2 linked regions of the Neodiprion lecontei genome follow. The protein of the gene in region 2 purifies or fractionates together with the protein of the main gene of each other region. This does not show direct contact. Links are inferred from orthologs where the notes say so. Each region holds a gene or a part of one and is shown on either strand. Other genes may lie near its edges.

The links.
Region 1: the proteins of cell division cycle protein 123 homolog (region 2) and eukaryotic translation initiation factor 2 subunit 2 purify together in Homo sapiens (affinity purification with mass spectrometry; 4 studies listed by BioGRID and IntAct, counting the BioPlex papers as one, with this or other methods). This does not show direct contact. The link is inferred for Neodiprion lecontei from reciprocal best matches to the Homo sapiens genes CDC123 and EIF2S2.

The regions. Positions count from the first base shown.
Region 1 is NC_060261.1:38,616,242-38,622,009, reverse strand, and holds eukaryotic translation initiation factor 2 subunit 2, read right to left. Parts: upstream 3,798-5,768; 5' UTR 3,643-3,797; coding exon 3,625-3,642; intron 3,031-3,624; coding exon 2,770-3,030; intron 2,526-2,769; coding exon 2,372-2,525; intron 2,298-2,371; coding exon 2,265-2,297; intron 1,997-2,264; coding exon 1,806-1,996; intron 1,546-1,805; coding exon 1,261-1,545; intron 1,181-1,260; coding exon 1,136-1,180; 3' UTR 709-1,135; downstream 1-708.
Region 2 is NC_060264.1:36,452,721-36,459,030, reverse strand, and holds cell division cycle protein 123 homolog, read left to right. Parts: upstream 1-1,992; 5' UTR 1,993-2,125; coding exon 2,126-2,362; intron 2,363-2,514; coding exon 2,515-2,616; intron 2,617-3,019; coding exon 3,020-3,242; intron 3,243-3,387; coding exon 3,388-3,513; intron 3,514-4,051; coding exon 4,052-4,311; intron 4,312-4,381; coding exon of another isoform or gene 4,382-4,456; exon of another isoform or gene 4,457-4,519; intron 4,520-4,526; coding exon of another isoform or gene 4,527-4,571; exon of another isoform or gene 4,572-4,806; intron 4,807-4,846; coding exon of another isoform or gene 4,847-4,882; exon of another isoform or gene 4,883-4,902; coding exon 4,903-4,977; 3' UTR 4,978-5,569; downstream 5,570-6,310. UniProt on the Homo sapiens protein: ATP-dependent protein-folding chaperone for the eIF2 complex. Binds to the gamma subunit of the eIF2 complex which allows the subunit to assemble with the alpha and beta subunits.

The sequences.
Region 1 (5,768 bases), on a different chromosome or scaffold from region 2:
TGGGTAAAAAATGTATAACTTTACCTTACTTCAGGTCACAACGAATGAAAATTGAATCGGCAGACTTCATTAGCTGAAGCGCTTCGCGGTATTAATTGACAGATTATACGCCGCGTGAATTCCCCATCACGCAAATGATCAAATATACGGGCCGAAATATCCTTGCAAACTTTTTTCATTTTAACAAGGACTGAATATCAAGACGCGAATAGCACGCAAAGTTTCGGCGGTTAAACTGGAGGTAAATTTTCAAGATGGTGACGTCTCGACGATTTACCGATTGGCGATTGTTTATACATACAGCGACGCCACCACTCACTTTCGCAGAATCACGTCAACGAAAAATTGACGATTAGTATGAAAATGGTTCTGGATCTATGTTCAGTACAATACATTTATGGCATGACATAAATAAATATGAATATATTCTACTTTTGTCCAATCAACTCGTACAATGTATTTGTAAATATTTACTCACAACTGTCATTTTAGCGGTGGAAAATTTCCATACTGGTTACTTATATCGCCATGCACTCGATATCATGTAGTGACAATGTAATTATGGCATGATTGTCGCGTACATTTAACCTGACCCGAAGCCTGATCGCTGCTTACGTTGCACTGTTCGGATATTTTGAATTTAAACTTAGACATGATAAATTAATAAATTCAAGTTTCAGAAACATTTATGAGAATATTCAACGTAGATGATTTTGAGATGAATTTATTGGCTAGTAAATACAGATGTGTACATTACCTATAAGAAACGAACGTGAACACTTCATGACATCAATTTAATTCATCTGATTATATATTGCAACTGTTGGAAATTGATTTAGTATAATATTTCTTAGCATTACTTTTACGAATTGCAGTTTGAACAGCGTTTTATTTAAAACCTTGATTATTATTATTATTATTGTAGTAAGGCTATGTACAAGGTGACAAAAGGTACAGTACATAACATACACTCTTTACATTTACGTACGCGGTAAAATTATTGTAAAAGTTCGATTCAGCAGCTCTTTGTATGTATTGAATGTTTTATTTAACTTTTTTTCTATTGAGAATAATAACGTACGTGATAATTTTGGGTTTGTGTTTTCTTTCGCGCTCATTATCACCATAAGTGTGTCTAAGTCGTTTTTGCTCTGATAGCCGCACGCTTTCCAGTCACAGCCTGAAAGCAAAAAACAAATGTCAATACCAACTGTTGTATATTGTCCAGTAGATGAAACGAAAAATTTGTTCATAAATTACCTGGAAACCAGATTTGATGCTAGCGACGGAGCACCTAGACCCACACGATTCACACTGAAGGAAGAATAGCCGAGTATCTTTCTGCAATATGGTGTCAGGGGAGCGACACGTGTGACACGTAACATACTCCTTGATGTATCTCCTTAGTACATTCTCTATCTGCTTTTGCTGGAAGCGACCCTTGATAATAAGCTGACTATTGCCATCAACAGATCCACTGGTTCCCAGTTCAGCCAGTAGGAAGTCCAGTAAGTGCTTCGGCTGTCTGTGCAGTGTTTTACAAATCTGGGAAAGATAATAAAGGGTCCGTTTAATTTTTCAGACAAAAGGGTATTCTGCAGACTATGGCAAATTGTAATTCATTGGTGAGGGCTTCAGGTTTGAATATTTTGCGAGAATATACTTACAATCTATGAAAAAATGAAAGAAGGAAAAAAAAAAAGTCACTTTGTTTCAAATTTTCGCAAGTAGGGTATCGACATATTGATTATTCCCATGCATTTAGTTTTAAAACTATTACATCAAAAAGTTAAACAATTCAATACCTCAGTAAAGTTTGCAAAAGAAGTTTTCTTGGTGCCGATTCGTACGACTTGCGGGGGCCTCATGACAAACTTTTGCTTCTTTCCAGCCACCATGTCAGGATTTTTCTCTCTCATTATTTCAAATACTCTGGCTAGTAGCTCATCATATGTGTAATCTCTGTCTGAACCAAGCCACGACGTGGTGTCCTCGACTGGTACAATGGAAAAGAGTCATCAAAATGTGACTAAAGTGGTAACAAATTTCTTAATAGCATTACCATGAGAAACAAAATATAAATTTAATACTTCCCTATTTTGGTTTACTACTTTGTAGCAAGTACAAACGTGACACGAAAAGGTAAATATTAAACTAAACAGCGAAAGTAGAATTGTGACACAAACGGCTAAGAAAGCATAAAAACAAGCATTTTAGTGCAAAAACAAATACTAGTCGTTATCTAGTCGACCAACGTGTCTTACCAGTTTCTACACTTCGCTCAGATTCAGTGAAGCATGTTAACAGATAGAATACACGATAAGCAACTCGTAGCAAAATAGTTTTTTCAGAGTTTAGTCTCAATACTTACCATTTTCCCTATCTTCTGCTTCCTTCTTTTCCTCTTCAGCTACTAGGTTATCGAGAATGTTCTTCCTTTTCTTCTTCTTTTTGCCCGAGAACTCCATATCCAGGTCAAAGTTACTTTCCGCAGGCCCATCTTCACCGATTGGCTCTGCGCCATCCTTAAGATAATAGGGTAAGTATTCAAAATGTCAAATCACTTCACCAAATGAATCTGCGATCCTGAAGTCACTCAAGAAATCGCAGCTATGTCTTTCGAGATGTATTTCTTGTGTTATGTTTTTATATCTTTAAATCATGTTCCATAAAAACAGCGAACACAAGAATTCAACAATTATAGACTTTCATTTCATCGCTATAATAAAATTCATATAACTTTCAAATCATTCGGCACGTAACACCTACTTCCTTCTTGCTTTCTGGGAGAGCCATATCGAGTTCATCTAGATTGAATGCCTTCTTCTTTTTTTTCTTTTTTTTACCAAAATTTTCTAGATCAAGGCCTTCGTCGTCATCTATCGCTCCCAATTCTGGCTCTTGATTTTCCTTATCACCGATGCCCTCGGTGGCTTCACCACCGCTGCCGCCCTCAGCCATTGCAGCATCGAGATCGAAAGTAGTCTTCTTCTTTTTTTTCTTCTTTATTTTCATAGTAGGATCAAAGATCTGAAAAATTTAAGTTTCATTAACTATCAGTCCCATCTATATGGTGAAAATCACAGGGGAAACGAATCTATAAAATCATACTGTTATTGAGAAAAATATAAGTACCGTCGACGATGAATAAATATAAGCATATTTTTAGCTTGAGAAGCATTGATTATCCTATGAATTATTATCGGTATAAAGTATTACGCAGGAAAAAAATGAATGGATGATACATCATGCAATACGCAAGAAGGGTGTTTATAGTTCTATTTTATCGCTTTATCCAAATTATCACGGATATCAAGAATGATTGTTGTAACTCAGACCACAACCACACAGATCACGTGGACGCATGGAAATCTGCCTGAAAATCCGTGATACGTTGATACAGGATTGAGGTTGTGTTTGCGATGTATTATTAAAAAATTTCTGATTCGAGTCATGTAAACTGGACGTAAAGCCAAGCAATATTCACCACATTCGGGGGAATAAATGGCTACAGAAGCGTGTAATATATGAAAAATGCGTAAATGGGAACACGTTGTGCCATTCAATCTGTGCACTGTTAGTGAACCTTATCCAGTCACAAATATTGGTTCATTAAATACATACCGAATCCTCTTCGGTCATGTTGATAAGAAACAGAGAACTTTTCTTTTTGTACGTAATTTGGTTATTTCGAGAATATATTTAACTGGTTTGTCGGAAGAATGAAAAATACTTTCTGACGTCTATTGCATCAGAATATTCTCTCGGTGCCACATGCAGGTACAAGAGATCAATCGGCGAATCAAAGCACGCAAAATAGCAATACGGTGGGAAGCGAAAGCACCCGATTGGTAGAAACCTCCATCAAAATCCGGTGTCTGACCGACAGCTGCTGCCACGTGCTGAGGGCGCGACAAGTCCGTGAAGCTCTGACGGCTCATCAGAGTGAAGTTCAGGCACGCCTACGTCGTTTCCAGTTAAATTTGACGAGTGAAAACGAGATGCGAGTACTCCTTGCCGGCTAGTTTGAGTACCTACTTTAGTACGCGGCAAAATGCATCTATATTGAGACGAATGATGCTTCGAAAAATGCGTCTCGATTCCTTACGTGAAAATATTATATTTCTCATTTTCAGTACGCGTTGAGAATAATATGGTCGAATTAGAAGGAATTCAGCTTTGCAGTGCATAACTGTATGTCCTCTGGTCGCATCCTGTTCGTAATTAGGGTCAGAAGAATGTGTTATCTCATACATTCAGCTTAAGCGCTAGTCAGTACAGTATGCAGTATCAATAATTTTATTATATTGACAACATCACGACTTTCGATTCCCTGTGATTGTTTTTTTTTTGTTTATTTTCGTCGTTTGAAACGTAATTCCAAACTATATCTTATCCGTATCCGAATAAAATTACTAGTATATCCATACTCCGATTTATAACTACAAATTATATACTGTAATTAAACTTGATAAACTTGAACCACACGATGTTCTAGTCATGTTATACCCAGTTCCCGGAAGTGTAATGTCCGTTAATTTTGAGCGTCTGAGTCGTAGAAAAATCATTGCACGGTCGTGAATATTAGCTCATTCGGTAAATTTGTGCAGACGAATTGATTTCGTCAAATATCGCTGCTGGTTATACGCAGTCACGACTGCAGGAGTTACCTGGGCAATGAGTTTCTTGTTATCGAATTGAACCGACGGCGCCCGCCAGCCGCAGTTGCGCCGTTCGCAAGTCGCTTGCGCAAAGGCGAATAAGTACTTACCAATCGCCAACAGGCGATTTCAATCGCGTTCGAACCGTGAGTTTCGAACTCAAAGCTAAAATCAGAGGAGAAAACAGTTGGTGTTGTTGCCCGCTGCCTTCCGCTGGTTCCTGCGGAGTTAAAGTAGTGCACGCAACCGTACGTCGCGCTACACTATTTGACTATTCCATTTCTATGCACGAATGCGTACATCGTACGACATACGTGTAGTGCCGTATTAGAGTGGGTATTGGATGTACCGAAACTATACGGATATTGCTGCTCGATATGTTTGTCGGGAGCTTAGTTGCACAGCGGCTGAATATTTCTTCGACAATGTGACAGTTGATGACAGTAGGCGGATATATGATACAACGGTCTCATTTTTAACCGCATTTAGTTCGTGCAATATATTTCCTCATTAGAATATAAGGTAAAATATCGCCTATTTGAAAAAAATAAAAAAAAGAAACGTTCCTCGATGCGGAGTGTACGTACATGCATGTTATGGAAAGTTTATTTGAATGCTGTTTGTATGAAAATAAGAAAACTGAAAAAACTGGGCGCTGAATTTTATGATAAAATGTAACCCGATTGTAAAATAATAACACCGAAAAAGTGACTTCTGCTCGCTGCAAACGTTATTATAACGCTAGTTACGTCTTAAATAGAGAGTGTGAAAGGTTCGTGGTGTGACACATCAAATATTACAATTGTTTACAGTGGTGAAATTAACGCGAGAGAGTTTTCCATTATTGGTTATGTTTTGCCTTGCTACATGGGGTATAACAATCGCATGTACTTGCAGTAACTCGCACTTCGATTGATTTTCTAATTTCCCAGTCTTCGATATACTTGTGAATGATTTCAAGGTTAGCTCGAAATTCCGATGTATCGAAAAATATTTACTGGTATTATAAAGGTCGTAAAATTCGTAAACAGAAATTGTTATAGTCACAAGCGTTTCTCATTTGTGTCTTTCATTACCCAAATTCATTTTTAAAACTATCCAGTTTGC
Region 2 (6,310 bases):
TGGGGGAGCTACGTCTGGGCGGTAGGGTGGCTGGAGACTTTTGATCATTTCATGGGTTGCACTCGCGGTTTTACCGAGTTCGATGCAAGACTTGCTTGCGCAATGCTGCTCGATTACACGGTTCATCGTGAAGCGCGACGAGACACCTTGACTGGGGTTCACTTTAAAATCGACCTATACTCTGGAAAGGCTGGAAGGCGATTGGGGATCTGTGCGCTGCTTAACTAACACCCGTATTCATAATCCTTCGTTGAAGAACAAGGATTCCTTGGAATAATCTGGATATGATGACTTGCAGCGTAGATTGGTGAGAGGATTTAACGAAATGACTGATTTTAATATATTTGGATACTTTGATTAACTTGGATTTATTTCATAAGTTCAATATTTCGAGTCACAAAAACGGAGTTACTCAGAGTAAGATCTTAAATTAATATGACAAAATGGAGCTGAAAGCTCGCTGGACTTTTGGGCAGAGTAACGTTGTATGAAAAGTTTAAATGCAAAAGACAAAAGGATTTTACCGCGAGACTGTACCGGCACAAGATGACGAATCTGGTGGTAGAAACCAAGAGAACGATCCGATGATCGGTCGCCGTTTTTATAGGTGTTGATCGTTGCGCAAAACGATCCCCTTCCTTAGATTTTGTCAACTTTTGCGCACCTTCCCCTTTCTTCTAGGAATTAGAATTAGGCCACGACATAATATGGTAATCGTAGTGCGTATGCGCTAGAGGTGACCCATGTTTCGTGGTGTACGTTAGTGCCTTGTGCACTTTTGGAGTCACGATGCGCTGAATTCTAGTCATAGCTTACTTCTTAAATATTCTTACTATCCTGTTCGTTACAAAGTCTGTATATTAAGATTGTCATATCGGTTACTCTTCGTTTTGTTAGTTTTATAGCGTGTAAATATGTGAAATTGCATGTGTGTTATAATTGATTACTGTCGTTATTCACCTGGAGTACAATAGCGATTGTTTATGAGACATAGTTGCTATTTGCTTAACATTATTAGAATCGCGCTGCTGCGAATATTCTTAGGTTTTTGTGTTATAACTATCTTAACAGATTTAGGGTATTTAACAATTTGATAATTGGTAGTCTTAGAGCAGGTTTGCATGTGTGCTTTCGTATATAATTCTCTTTTGTAATTATTAATTCTTATATTAATATAAATCGGCTTGGAAGCTTCTAGAACGTTTTTCTTAAGTTTGTTGGTTGCCTGTTACTGGGCGTTGCCACGTATGCATCTTTGAGTTTATTGCGAGTTGATTTACCTTCAATTGTTTCGTCGTTAAGTTTCGTAATGTATTCTCTAGATGGAGCTCTGTATGGCTCCACATTGGAGATCTGCATGGCTACAAAACCTGCGCGTGTTGTCTACAATACGGCGTTACGGAGGAAAGTATAATTCATGCTGGATAATTAGTATTCACGGTTTCGAAGGTTTTGCAGTCTCTGGTTTTATGGATTATTGCAGCAGTGCTATCTTTACATTATATTGGTCATACATTTATCTAGGGTTTTACAGTCTTTTATACTCCAGGCTATGTGGTATAGCGTAAGTTGCTTATAGTGTAACTCTCAGTGTCGAATTGCACAAATGGCATTGTCGAGTGTTATAGAATAATTGTATATAATGGTGTTAGTTAATTATGGTGTTAATATGATAGTGATATATAATAACGTATAATAATATTATAGCTCTTTGTAGTGCGAAGATCTCGTAACATGGTTTTTAAGCTTTGGTTAGTGAATGTCATAGGTATTTCCATCTAGGGATATTCCAAATAGTTAGACAGTGGTTTTAATACCTTATGGTTACAAGATTCTCGTACTTCGAGTTTGGTTGGTTGATAAAAGTGACATGCAGTCATAATAGTCGATAAAACATACGGACATTCCGGTCGGATGTTACAATACAACGACACGGTGACGCCAGCGCCTCAGACTACTGGGGTACCGAACTAACTCAGTACCCCAGAACGCGAAAACCTTAAGAACTGCTCGTCTATGTATCGTCTGAATTTGTTGGTAATAATATTACATCGTGCCTCTACCCTTCCTAGATCTAACGACTGATCCGAAAACTTCCATTTCTATCGGAGATTGTCTATAGAAAATGATTGCCGAGTGTTCGTTTAGCGTTTGGTATCCGTTGTTCGGCAAAGAGTCATTGGAGGCTGTCACCGTCCCGATACCAGATGAGGTTATGGCGTACCTGGAGCATGAGTCGTTTCGATTACCTGTAGAGGCGCGAAATTATTCGAAATCATGCAGCTCGAGATGGTCCGACGGTACTTTGGTACTACCGAATGACAACGACGACGTTCACCTAGACCAAGCACAATTCACGAATGTGAGTCTGATTGCATCCTCTCGGACTTGTGCTATCTTTAACTGCATCTAAAGACTGGCTCGTTTCAAGGAAACCTATCACATCAGGCCATCTTGCCGATCTGTGTTTCCATCATCTTTACTAATAAATGTATGAATAATATGTTGTTACAGGATTTAAGCGAGCCGTCTTATCCGATGTTCAGCAATCAAATTAAGGATGTCCTTAACGAATTTGGTGCAGTGTTTGTTAAATTGAACTGGAGCGCACCTTTGGTGAGTGGGCTTTTTCCATTCCCAAACGAAATACTCTATGCAGTAGCGGTAAATGAGATGAAGTAGAAACTAAGCTAGTTTTATGGTCTGTAGGGTGATTTGTTCGTTGCTAAACACAGAGTGCAATTGATGTAGCCTTTCAACCTGGCACCTGCGTAAGCGGTTTTCTCTCTCACTTGGGTCTAGCGTTGAGCAACGAATAAATGAGCCTGTATATCCAACTAGAATAGGTACCAGTTACATCCGTTGAAAAAGCACTGCATGTCTGTCTGACAGCCAGAGATTGATATCCGTTTCGCTATTGGTAATTTTTGAAGAAAAAATAATGTAACAAAATAGCAGGCCCTAAAGGTGTAATTGATCAAATCTGTAGTGAAATATAGCAGTTTGGTGACTTTTGAAGGATGCAGCATGGGTTGCCCCTACAAAAACACTAAGATGCACAACCTTGGAAGAAATCTATCTATTGCTCAAAAGTTCAGATCGATTGGTAAAAGACCTGAATCAGCTACAATCCTTAAAGGATAAGAAGGTGAATGTGCCACCCTGCCTGGTCTTGAAGAAATGGCGTGAAATAAATCCCTGTGCAGAGTTTCGTTGCTTTGTGATAAATGGCGAGCTTGTTGGTAATCGATGTATTACATATAATGATTAACTTCTATTTTATATAATCGTGAAGATTGTAATAAATAGCCACTGTTAAAATTTTGGACAGAGCAACTTTGATGATTTGTCCCTTCTGCAGCCGATAAGTATTTCAAATTATTTCAGGAATTTGTCAGCGAGACCTATCGCAATATTATCTGTATATCGAAACGGAGAAGTATGACATACGCCAGGATATTAAGAGTTTATTCCATGAACGGATAAAGAAGAGATTTGAATCATTGACAAATTGTAAGTATAGACAGCAGTCCACCTTGAATGACTATAAATACATAATAGAAAATAAAAGTGTAGATTCTACTCAAAACTGTTGAAAAAGAGGGACATATTATGTGTTTTGGTAAAATATACTTGTAAAATGCAGAATTTCGTCCTAAATTAATGAAAACCACTGTGTGCAGCCTAAGATGTGCTACATTTATAGTAAAAAATACAATAGGTATGGGTATTTTTTATTTATTTTTTTTCACCGCAAAACTTAATGTGTCCCTCTTTTCCTGTGGTTTTGAGTAAAATCTGCTTTCATTCTTTCCTTGTAAAGCTACTAATTATCACAGACTTTTATAGATGTAAACTAAACTGCTAGCATAAATAAAATTATAAGCAAATTATTTTTGCCAAGTATGGTGCGCATAGATGAGTATTTGGTTTAGGTGCAAAACATTGAAGTGATTTTTTGAGCTTCTTCTCCAGCAGTTCAAGTTATCATACAGAAGTTTGTGTGACTTCTCTCTACGTTGCAATTACAATGAAGCCTTTATCTTTCCAGATGTATTTGATGTGATTCGTCACAAAAAAGATCATGTCAAAATAATCGATTTTAGTCCGTACGTCCCAGGTAGCACAAAGACCCTGCTATTCATGAAGGAAGAACTTAATGGACCCATTTTCAATCCCCCAGAGTTTCGCCTTATTGGTGAAAATGTTGCAATTCAACCTAATGACGCAAGCACTTTTTGCATTCCAAGAGAAATCAACGAGTTCTATCAGACCAACAGTTCACAGTCTATGATGGATATCATTCAGCAAGTAAGTTTCAACTATTACGACACTATTAAAAAGTACCCTGAGAAGTCAATTCTGATATTTCGTGATGCAGGTAACCTGGCGTTATCTTATCTGTCGTGCCATCTTCGACAAAAGCCTAATAATTTCAAGTTCAGCTTACTCCTGACATCTTGTATGAGCCTAAATGTATCAACCATGACTCAATCTGAATACAAAAGCGTACCTATTTTATATAGATTCTATTCAAGAACCATATTATATGTGAAACTAAAACTGCATAAGCAGTTATAGGGAAACACGGGAATTTTTTGGTACTGGAAGAAGCAGAGAAATAACTGAGAGTTTGTCTTCAAACTTCAGAGTACCTATTCTGTGAAAGTAATTTTAATCATTCGTTCTACATGGTCGAAATAATATCAAAAATATTGATCAGTCATTGGTGAAATGTTTGGGTCAGGGATAGACTTGATTTAAACCGAGATGACCGTCGCAATAGTCATATGCCTCTAAGCTTACTGAGGTCGAACTACAATAAGGTCAACAATACTGTCTTTAGGGTATGGTTAACATCTTAACTAACCAAAAGAACTAAACAGCTGTTGAACTCAACAGGAAGTTCACAATCAGAATGAGCTGTGTGAAATGAATAAACATCCAAATCGATCTACTGATGAGGATTACCAGTGATGGAAGTACGAAGATTTTGTCTACAATTACTGTTTTCGCCTAAAGTGCAATTACTTACCCATTATTACCAGTTACAGGTAAATGTTGTGACAGTTATTCATTAATGCTGCGGCTAGCCACTTCATCTCTTGTAAGTCTGCATCTGCCATTGACTGACATACATTTTTCTTATTGTGCACAGTTTTTTCACTCAATGTAGTCGATTATTTTTCACTGAAGCTCAAAAATCATTATTTTCAAAATGTTTGCTCATTAAGTTAATTACTTAATTGTATAAAATACACTATCATTGACTCTGCTCAAATAGTGCGTGATTCAGCGAACAAGATGTTATGTCATGCTTTCGGCAGATTCATTCATAGAATAATCGAAATACCTGTTGTATGTCATCCACTGTTGGCAATTACAATAATATAATGTTTTATGTACAGAAATATGTGAAAAGAATTAATAAATCTGACTCTGTTGTAATATACTTATTTTCAAGTGTTTGCGATTACGCTCAACCTTTGTTCTGCCATCCTACATTGTGCTCAGATTACAAATACATACAAGCTAATAGAGAATGAGTTCTATGAAGCTACCATATAGATTTAGTTAGAAAAAATCATTTGCACCAAAGTTCCTGAATTTCAAAGACATTACTTTGCCTACTTAGTTAAACTTTGCTTGGCTAAATATTTTTTGTTTTTTGATAACAATGTGCATCATGACGCTTCCAATTGTTAGTCACCATACGACAACAACCAGAATTGAAAAACAAAAAATCGGTCATTACTCTACGACTTTCTTTCAAATCACATGAAATTTTATAAAAAATTTGTTGTATGACATCGCGTTATTCATCTAGCGACCTTGCAAGTTTTGTTATAATTTTCCAAATCTCGAAATAGTAGAAATAATTTAAGTTGTTCAGATTAAATTGGGAAAAATAATGAAATTTCATTATCAGTTGAAGATGTGCTGTGGAAATTTTCATACCTCGTAACAATTTCCAATTTAGGCAACTCCCAGTGCCGAAAGTGCAAGCTTTGCAGTTATAAATTTAATCACGATCTTAATCGCGCGTGTAACCGTTTATTCCAATAATTCGAGTTGCGATTCTAGGATTTCATTTAAATAATACTAACGGACTTTTTTTTAAGTTTACATAATTTTAGGCGTTGCAGGAATTCCACGACACTGCCGAAGCACACCGGAAGAACACTCAACAGATTAAAACTAGACTTAGATGGCAAATTTCTCAAATGCTACAAAAACTTTTGCATCATTATACCTAGTTTAACATGATTCTAATAATTCTCAGATGAATTGCCAACAAGTACAAAAATGT